2 linked regions of the Sus scrofa genome follow. Each later gene encodes a partner of the first gene's protein in a complex. Links are inferred from orthologs where the notes say so. Each region holds a gene or a part of one and is shown in the gene's direction. Other genes may lie near its edges.

The links. The genes of interacting proteins can lie anywhere in the genome.
Region 2: POLR2K (region 1) and GTF2A1 share a complex: the UniProt entries of both Homo sapiens proteins name them as parts of the TBP-based Pol II pre-initiation complex. The link is inferred for Sus scrofa from reciprocal best matches to the Homo sapiens genes POLR2K and GTF2A1.

What each region holds. Positions count from the first base shown.
Region 1 is NC_010446.5:36,849,687-36,854,094, reverse strand, and holds POLR2K (DNA-directed RNA polymerases I, II, and III subunit RPABC4), read left to right. Parts: upstream 1-1,472; 5' UTR 1,473-1,613; intron 1,614-2,814; 5' UTR 2,815-2,822; coding exon 2,823-2,883; intron 2,884-3,193; coding exon 3,194-3,286; intron 3,287-4,178; coding exon 4,179-4,201; 3' UTR 4,202-4,366; downstream 4,367-4,408. UniProt on the Homo sapiens protein: DNA-dependent RNA polymerase catalyzes the transcription of DNA into RNA using the four ribonucleoside triphosphates as substrates.
Region 2 is NC_010449.5:104,006,260-104,010,797, reverse strand, and holds the start of GTF2A1 (transcription initiation factor IIA subunit 1), read left to right. Parts: upstream 1-1,479; 5' UTR 1,480-1,926; coding exon 1,927-1,956; intron 1,957-2,898; exon of another isoform or gene 2,899-2,985; intron 2,986-4,538. UniProt on the Homo sapiens protein: TFIIA is a component of the transcription machinery of RNA polymerase II and plays an important role in transcriptional activation. TFIIA in a complex with TBP mediates transcriptional activity.

The sequences.
Region 1 (4,408 bases):
CTCCACATGATGCTAAAATTACTGTTCCTACTCATAGGAACAAGAGTGTTGGATTGGGATCTAGCCCCAACATGAACTCTTGTTGAAATTCTGGATCTCCTTGCTACAACTTGTCTTTACTCTACCCCTCTGTAGGGTCCCAGGAGCCGTTTGTATTCTGCATGTGTTAATTCCTCCTGATCTCCATAGACTGCATTAAGTGCCAGCATCTTCTTGAAATCTCAAGCTTGAGAGTTGGAATCCAGGTCAGCTTGCAATGATTAAAGTTATACTTTTTGGATCACTCCATAATCTTTCTCTTATGATAACAATGGTTTTATCTAATACTTCTTGGAGCAAAGCTTATTTTGATTCTTCTTTTGGGTTACCTCTTCCCTTTGGCTGACAGGAGAGATATTTTTTAAGATGGTCAAAATACTTGTATGTTCTGTCTTAGCCTGTCTGTGGAGGAAGAAGCAGGACACTCCACTGTGTTTCCTGAAATTTTTACAACAGGGAGCTAAGAAGACTGGGAAGATTGAGTTAAATCTCTCAAGTTGGTCTGTGGAGGTGCCGGCAGTTGGAACTCCTCCTGGAAGTGTAATGCGAAGCTCAAAGTTCCCAAGTTTCCGTATGGAAGACCAGAGAGCAGTATTGCCTGCTTAATAAGAAACCAAAATAATGCATGTTGGGAAGAAAGAAACCTGCTTCTCCAATTAACTGTAATAGATAACGAATATGTATTTTCTAAATTGTAACAACTTCATTTTCTTCCTCTCATTCTGATATTAGTAAAATGCCTGCTATGAAAGAAGCAAACGAATGTAAATGTGTACATCCAACGATAATGTCTCACTAATAGTTTGATCTTTGAAAGGATTCCACTGAGCAGGTCGTTTTGTTCTTCTAGAGAATACATGGGACCAAAGGAGGGTCGGTAAACAGCCACCACTACCTAAATCCCTCAGCTTTAAGTGGCAGTAGTTGGATGTAGCTGCCTGCAAGTCCGCCTGTGCTTTAAAACGAGTAAAAGGAGAGGCTGAGAAGGATGACAGGTACCTAAGTGAGAAAGGGTCGAAAAGCAAACATTATGCAAAGGGCAGGAGGCGGCTGTTCCACTGCCGGCGGCACAGGTATTAAAACGATCTGAAATCCATAATCTGAAAACTGCTCTTCTACGTGGAAATCAGCGGTGAAACCGATACTTCCACGTTCTTTGGAGTAACGGTCAGCCCAGGGATTCCATGAGCACTTCACTTGGGTATCTAACGCTCTGACCTCTTGGAAAACTGTTACTTTCTGCGGCCTTCATTTGTCATAGAAACAAACCTCCTTCGACCTGAGAAACTGCTAAAATTCTTTGCCTCCCCGAAAAATGAAAATAGTTGGGAGCCAAATAAGAACCTCTACAGAGCGAATCAAACATACATAATTCCAATTTAACTGCCCGCGCTCAATCCGGGTTCTTCGGCCACTCCTTGGGCGGAAGGGGCGGAGACTACATCCTGCGTCATCTGCCAGTGCCGGAAGTGGGCTGACACACAGCGGCCTCAGGAATCTGTTAGGGAGCCTCGGGAAGTTTCTCCGTGTTCCGTGGGTAGGGGTTTGGCGGATTGGCGGTTTGGGATTGGAAGGTGAGTGTTTGGGCCAAAACTGGAAAGATACTAGGGGTTACAGGAGGTCCGGTGTGGGATTAGAGTCGAGAGAGGCTGGGGATGGAGTCGATGCTGTTAGCCCTTTGGCTTGTTTAGCTGTTGGGTTGTCTGCCTTTTCAGCTGTTAGGAGTTATTTCATTATTTTTCCCTTTTCTTCGGTTCGCATGTTTTCCTGTTGAGGGGTATAGTTTTTTGGCAATTTCTTGCTAAATTTTGGGAAAATTTCACTTGTGGGAGTTCCCCTTGTGGCGCAGCGGAACTGAATCAGATGAGTATCCTTGAGGATGCGGATTCCATCCCTGGCCTCGCTCTGTGGGTTAACGACCCAGCGTTGCCTTGAGCTGTGGTATAGATAGCAGACGGGGCTCGGATCCCGCGTTGCTGTGGCTGTCAGGCCTATTGGACCCCCTAGCCTGGAACTTCCACATGCCGCGGGTGGAAAAAAAAAAAAGAGAGAGAGAGAAAGAAAAAGAAAAATTGGAGTTCCCGTCGTGGCGCAGTGGTTAACGAATCCGACTAGGAACCATGAGGTTGCGGGTTCGGTCCCTGCCCTTGGCTCAGGGCAGGGTTAATGATCCGGCGTTGCCGTGAGCTGTGGTGTAGGCTGCAGACGCGGCTCGGATCCCACGTTGCTGTGGTTCTGGCGTAGGCCAGTGGCAACAGCTCCTATTCGACCCCTAGCCTGGGAACCTCCATATGCCGTGGGAGCGGCCCAAAGAAATAGCAAAAAGACAAAAAAAAAGAAAAAGAAAGAAAAAGAAAAATAGTACTTGTACTCGTGTTAAATGAAAACCAGAGCTTCGCAGTCAGATCTAAATTCCTCTGCCTTTTAACTACTGAATAATCCTGACCAAATTAACCTTCCCTAAATCTTAGTTTCTTGATCTGTTCATTAAGAGTAATTATTTAACCGCCTAGAATTGTTGTAGAGATTATAATGAAATAGCATGTGTAAATATGAAATCTGTAAAGTGTTTATGGAGTCCAGTTTGGGGGTAAATGCAAAATGCTTATTTGTGGGTTTGATTCATTCTTTAGAACCAGCGGTAGGATTTTTAAAAAGTACGGATTAGGAATTGGGAACTTTTTAGCTTTTTAGCTTTCCCTGAGAAAAATAAGGCATGATTGGATTTGTGAGGGGCCCCTTTAAGATGTTCAGTATTTGAATCTGTGATTTCAGGGATAACGATGGACACACAGAAGGACGTTCAACCCCCAAAACAGCAGCCAATGATATATATCTGTGGAGGTAAGAGTGGCACTTACATAAAATAAAAGTATTTTACCTCAGTTTTTTAAAAAGATAGTGCATTTATCTTTATTTTACTTGAGTCCTTCCTCTTTGAAGTTAGCGCTTTAGCAACTATTTTAAGATTTCATTTTCTCTCCTAGAAAAAGTGCGTTGCCCACCACTCTTTTCTTTCTTTTCCCTTAATATGTTGATAATGTTGAGATTTAGTATACATATTTTAGTGCTTTGGGGGAAAAGTATAATTAAGATAATTTGCTTGCCTCTTATTTCTCTTTTAGGCATTGAATAAATATGTTTTCTCTTTTAGAATGTCACACAGAAAATGAAATAAAATCAAGGGATCCCATCCGATGCAGAGAATGTGGGTACAGAATAATGTACAAGAAAAGAACTAAAAGATGTATCCTTTTAACTGTGTTTTCTAAATATGAGGTAGGAGGAAGTGGAGAATAATGCTTGGGTTGATAGTCAAAGACTAGCTGTTAAAAAATGGTAAAACTTGGATTACTTAGTGAAAAAATAAGCATGGAGTTGCCATCGTGGCTCAGCGGACACGAATCTGACTGGCATCCATAGGGACGCAGGTTTGATCCTTGGCCCTGCTCAGTGTGTTAAGGATCTGGCATTGCCATGAGCTATGGTGTAGGTCGAAGATGCTACTGGGATCCTGAGTTGCTGAGGCTGGTATGTATGTAGGCCGGCAGCTACAGCCCCCATTCGACTCCTAGCCTGGGACTTTCCATATGCTGCATGTGCGGCCCTAAAAAGGCAGGGGAAAAAAAAGCTTGATTAGCATTGTTATGGACCAATATGCCGGTACATAGGCATATACTAAATAATCTAAATACTAGTTAATTTTGGTTTTCATAAGTGTATCTTTCTTGGATTCTATATTTAAGTACTCATTCTTGAGCTTTAGTTCATGGACACACTAATTATACAGGGAGAAATAAAAATATTGAGACGTATATTACCTAGTGGAGAAAGTGAGGCTTACAAATTAGTAGAAAGTAAATTGTTATGTAGTAACTAACAGTATTTTTTAGATTGCTAAATTTTTACCTTTACCATCACTTAAGTATTTTTTGGTGTATTGGTCTTTTGTATCATGAAAAGGGGACTAATAATTAACTAGTTTATTTTTAGTTCATTTCTAATTATCATAGTAAATAGTGAATTTCATTCTTTTGTGTATTTTAAATTGATGTCACAAAGAGAAAGTGACTTGGAAGAGCTAAATTTTTAATGAAATCTTTAATTACTTTTCTTTTCCTTAACTCAGTTTAATACAGTGGTGGTTTTTGATGCTCGATGAAACGTGAAATTCAGAGGAATATCTTCATTTGGATTTGCTGTTGATGTTGTATAGCTTTTGATTTGTGTACTTTAAGAATACAGCTGTGTATCATGATTTCATTTTAAAAACCATATTGTATTTAGGGGTCTATTAATAGTTTAATATAAAGGTATTTTTGGTTCAGTTTCATGCTTCATAATTTAATTTCATCATATATGTAATCTG
Region 2 (4,538 bases), on another chromosome or scaffold:
GTGATAGGGAAGAAAAAGAGGTGAAAGGTGAGGGATTCCATGTACAAACAGTACTACTTAAATAAGGAGGTAAAAAGTCCTCTTAAAATGGTAAGAAATTAAAGACATGGGTTAATTTAACTTTTCGGGCCAATGGTCACTTGAATATTACATGAATTACAAATGGTGATGGAATCATAATTTTATATAATAGTATAGGACAATATGATTTCCTATGGTCTTATCTCTTTCAGTGTTCCCAAAGAGGCCACTGTGCAGGGAACTGAAAAGCAACTGATCTTTCTCAAATCTTCTTTCAGGAGCATAAGTTTGACATTTTGTTTTGCTTTGCTTTTTGAGGATCAACTCCCTCACTTGTCCAGACTGCATTCCATGTCACTCGCAATTCCTAGGGACAAGAAAATTAGGAACTGTTGAGTTCTGTCTTCTAAACAGAGTATTCCGTTTTGCGTGAAATGCTGATATAAAGGCGGGATTAGCTTGGGCAGAGCAGGTCAAACGCCTACTGAGTTGCCCTTGAATACATGGCCATTTTCTACCTGCTCTCTTGCAGCCATGAGAGTTGATGGGTCAAGGGCAAGTATTCAAGATGTTAGCACGTGCTGAACATATGGAATCACTGAATTTTTGCAACATTTAAAAAAAAAAAAAACCAGGAAAAGTTGTGCGGTCATAATCCAGGTGGTGACCTTTTTTGGGGGGTTAGTTTTAACATTTCTACCACCTTGAGAAGTTATTTGAAGTAAGTGGGCTTGGAGAGGCCGGGACTCTGGGGAACGGAAATTTAAAGAGACTTTGTAGTTGTACTGATGGAGACAGACAACTCTGCTGGCTTCAGGGATTATTAATTGTGGAATGTAATAATATGTAATAATTGTTGAATGTAGTAAGAGGGGAACCAAATCAGTTCCCTTTCAGGAACTCATACACAATTTTGCAAGCGAAAGGCCCACCCTCAGCAAGGCGTGCTAACGCTTCAGCAACTAGGAGTCTGACCTTAGCTCACGCTCGGAGATGACTCCGCACTTAAAACTTTTGCCGGAAGCCGGGCCACGTGACCCGCCCTTTTCCACAGCCATGCCTAGCGGGGCAGCCGCCAGAGCTCCTACATTTCCTAGCCCCTCCAGCGTGGGACAGCTCAGAATCTCCCGACAGGAGGCGGAATCAGCTAGGTTTCGACTCGAGCGTCGCCACAACTCACGCTTTTCTCCAACAGAGCTTTGCAAGTTCTTCATCCCAAAACAGCAGCCGGAGACTTCCGCCTGGTTGCCGACCACGTGATCACGCGACATTTGGGGAGACCGCGGTCGGACTTCCCTACTTAAGTCCCCGGGTCCCGCCCACACAACACCCTCCCCTGAGCGTGACGACGCGGCTCGCGGCGGCCTCCGCCCCGGCGCGCCTGCGCACGCGGCTCTCGCGGTGTCTTGCGCTCAGCCCCGCCCACCTCTGCCCCCGCCCTTTCCGCCCCTCCCTCCCCCTCCGCCCTGTCTCTCGGCGGCAGCGGCGGCAGCGGCGGCTCGCGCAGCTCGTTGGCTCACTATATAAAGGGAGAAGCGGGCGGACCGGACGGCTGGAGCTGCAGCCGGTGGCGGCAGCGGCGGCGCGGGGAGCGGCGACCAGTGGTGGTTTCCCTCCTTGGCGCGGGGTGGGGAGCGGGCAACGCCCCCCAAACCCCAGAAGGGTCGTGCCCTTTTTTTTTTTAAGGGCGATCCTCGAGTTTTTAGCTCCGGGAGGACTGCCCCCTCCTCTTCCTCCCCTCGCCGATCCCCTCTAATCCAGCAGGATCCGATTTTGTTTAAAATTCCCCCCCCAATTTTGCGGTGGCTTGGGTCACCCTCTGGGTGTTTTTTTTTTTTTTTTTCGTTTTGTTTTTATCTTGTTTTCTCGGGGCTTGCCCCCCTCTTGTTTGTGTTGTGTGTGGAAATGGCGAACTCGGCAAATACAAACACCGTGGTAAGGACGTGGTTCGGTGGCCGGCGGGGGCTTCGTTCAGGCGGCAGCAACGGCCGGACCGGGCGGGGGCGGGGACGGCGGCGACTCCCGGCCTCAACTCTCAGCTGCCCGCGCGGCTGCCGCCGCTGCCGCCGCCGCTTCCCGCCTCGGGCGGAGCGGGCCGGGGCGCGGGGCGGCGGGCGCGGGGGGGTGCCGAGGGCTCGGGGCCGCGGCGGCAGGGAGGGCGGGGGTGCCGGCGGGGCCTGGAACTGCCGCGGGGCGGTCCGGGCCGCTGAGGCGGTTGAGGCCGGGATGAGCGCGCGGCCCTGGCCCCAGACCCCATCCGCCAGGAGGGAGGGCGGGAGGGGAGCCTCCGCTTCCTCCCCGAAGCGGGTCCTGCCGCGCTGGCTGGAGAAGGGCTCTCCGAGCAGCCTCAAAACAAAAACCGTGTCTTGGGAACTGGGCGAATCCCCAAGACCCACCGCGATCCACTTTAACGCAGTGGAAGGCTAATGGCTACTTGGGGGTTACTTTGGGTGTTGTGGCGGGTTGTGCTTAGGAGGCTTCACTGGGGCCATTTTACGTTTAAGAAAAAAAAAAAAAAAAAAGGACGAAGGTTGAAAAGCACTTATCTCGGTTCCTTCCGAATCGGTAAAATGGCGAAGGGGAAGCAACCCCCCCCATCGTATCTTCGACTAGCAAAAACACCAAAACAAACAAAGCTTACAGTGGTCAAAGTGCCCCCACTTTCGCCTCGAAATTTGCCTACTTCTCACCGTTTGTCCCTTTTTTCTTACTTGCGATCACGTAGGTTTGCAAAAAGCAGTCACATAAATAACCTTTTCAGTCACCAACGCAATGTGATCACTAGTCCACCCCACTCTCTTATTTTTATTGTGACAATAAAACACGTTTTTGCCCGGTCCCAAATGCAGACAAGCCCGCGGCCGCCCGACTCCGTACCGTTGACGACTCGGGTCGATCCATCATGGCTGCGGCCGCTTACCCTGCCTTTCAGTCCCTGAGCCTTGTGGTCCTCCTCCCTTTGGCTGCCCTGTTTATATAGAGCCATTGCCGCTCTCTAATATAGACTCTGCCAGGATGGGAAGGTGCTTTTCAGGCCTACGTCACCGCCTCTCCATTTAAACACCAGATCCGGCTTTAAATAGTGAGAGCTGCTGAGAGCGGGGCTGGGAGGTGCGTGCTCTCGAGGCGAGAGGCAGGCGTGTGTAGAGCTCAATTTATTTCCAAGTCCTTTCGTACTCTAATTTCATACCCAATCGGGGCTGCTTTAGGAGCCCTAAGTTTTTGTTTTGATGCAGCAGCTGGGACTTAACCTTTGTTAGGGGAAAATAGAATTGCTGTCCCTTTTTATTTTGTGTTTTGTTTTTAAAGAGAATTTTAGCTTAGATGTCTTAATTGTTCCTGTATTGAGAAGATGCATGCATTATTTTTTTTTGTTTTTTGTTTGTTTTTGAAAAGCTTTAGGCATTACCTGTTAGCTGTAGAGGATTTGATTTTGGTAGTGCTTTGTTTATCAAGTATTCAGGGAATGTTAGACTATAGCTCGTAATACTTCATTATTTTTCCTATAATAAATATTTGAGACACGAAGCTTTTCAAAGTAGATAAGTATCTAAAGCTTTGACATAGGACCTCCTGTCAACAATACGTGTATGTATGGGATATTATGAATAATGTGAGAAGGCTTAGTGCAAACTGGGTATTCAAAAATTAAAATTCTAAGTAGACGGTATTTTCATTTATTTGCATGGTAATATGGTATCCAATATAGATATTAATCCAGTTTATTTTCCAATATTGTACTAGAGTCTCAAACTTTTGAAGAAACCCTTTAATCATTAGCTTATGCCACTGATGGCCCTTTAATTAAAGTTTCAAAGTTTGGACTATCTTGTTTTTGAAAAACAGGACAAACCTAGATTACTATGTATTTCATAAAAGACAAAAACTTTGGCTCAAGTAAAATAAAGTTTAGCATTTTAAATGAACTTGCTTAGTTCACATAGTGCCTATGTATTCACATATTTTTAATAACATCAGTATTTTGGACACTTTTTAAATTAATGAGCAATCCTGAATTACTCTTTATGCGTATACTTCTGAAGAATACACATTTCCCTTCCTTCAGCTGTAGTGCATGTGAATCTCTGTGGTCACTTTGCAAGTTAATTAAAGCACCTAGGCAAACTCTTAAAGTAAGATTGATTCATTAAGTAGGGAGTTCCAGAGGAAAGCACATTGTACCTATAAATGTGTGGATCACCAAGCAGATATTTTTAGGGGTGACTGACTTCAGAAACACTAAAACAGCATCTAGTTTGCTGAAAAAATAATTTATATCATCAATATAAGATTTATACTACTAATTTAAAATTATACTGGGGCTTTATAATGCCTTGGTTTAAATATATATATATATATATTTTTGTAATTCAGTAGTTGAATTACCATAGATAAAGTGATATCCATAGTCATATAGACTTTCCTCATTATGGAATCAGTGTTGAAATAAGGAGGCACTATAGAGATGCAGATTTTACACATGAATAATTTTATTCACAGAGGCAGATTTGGAAAAA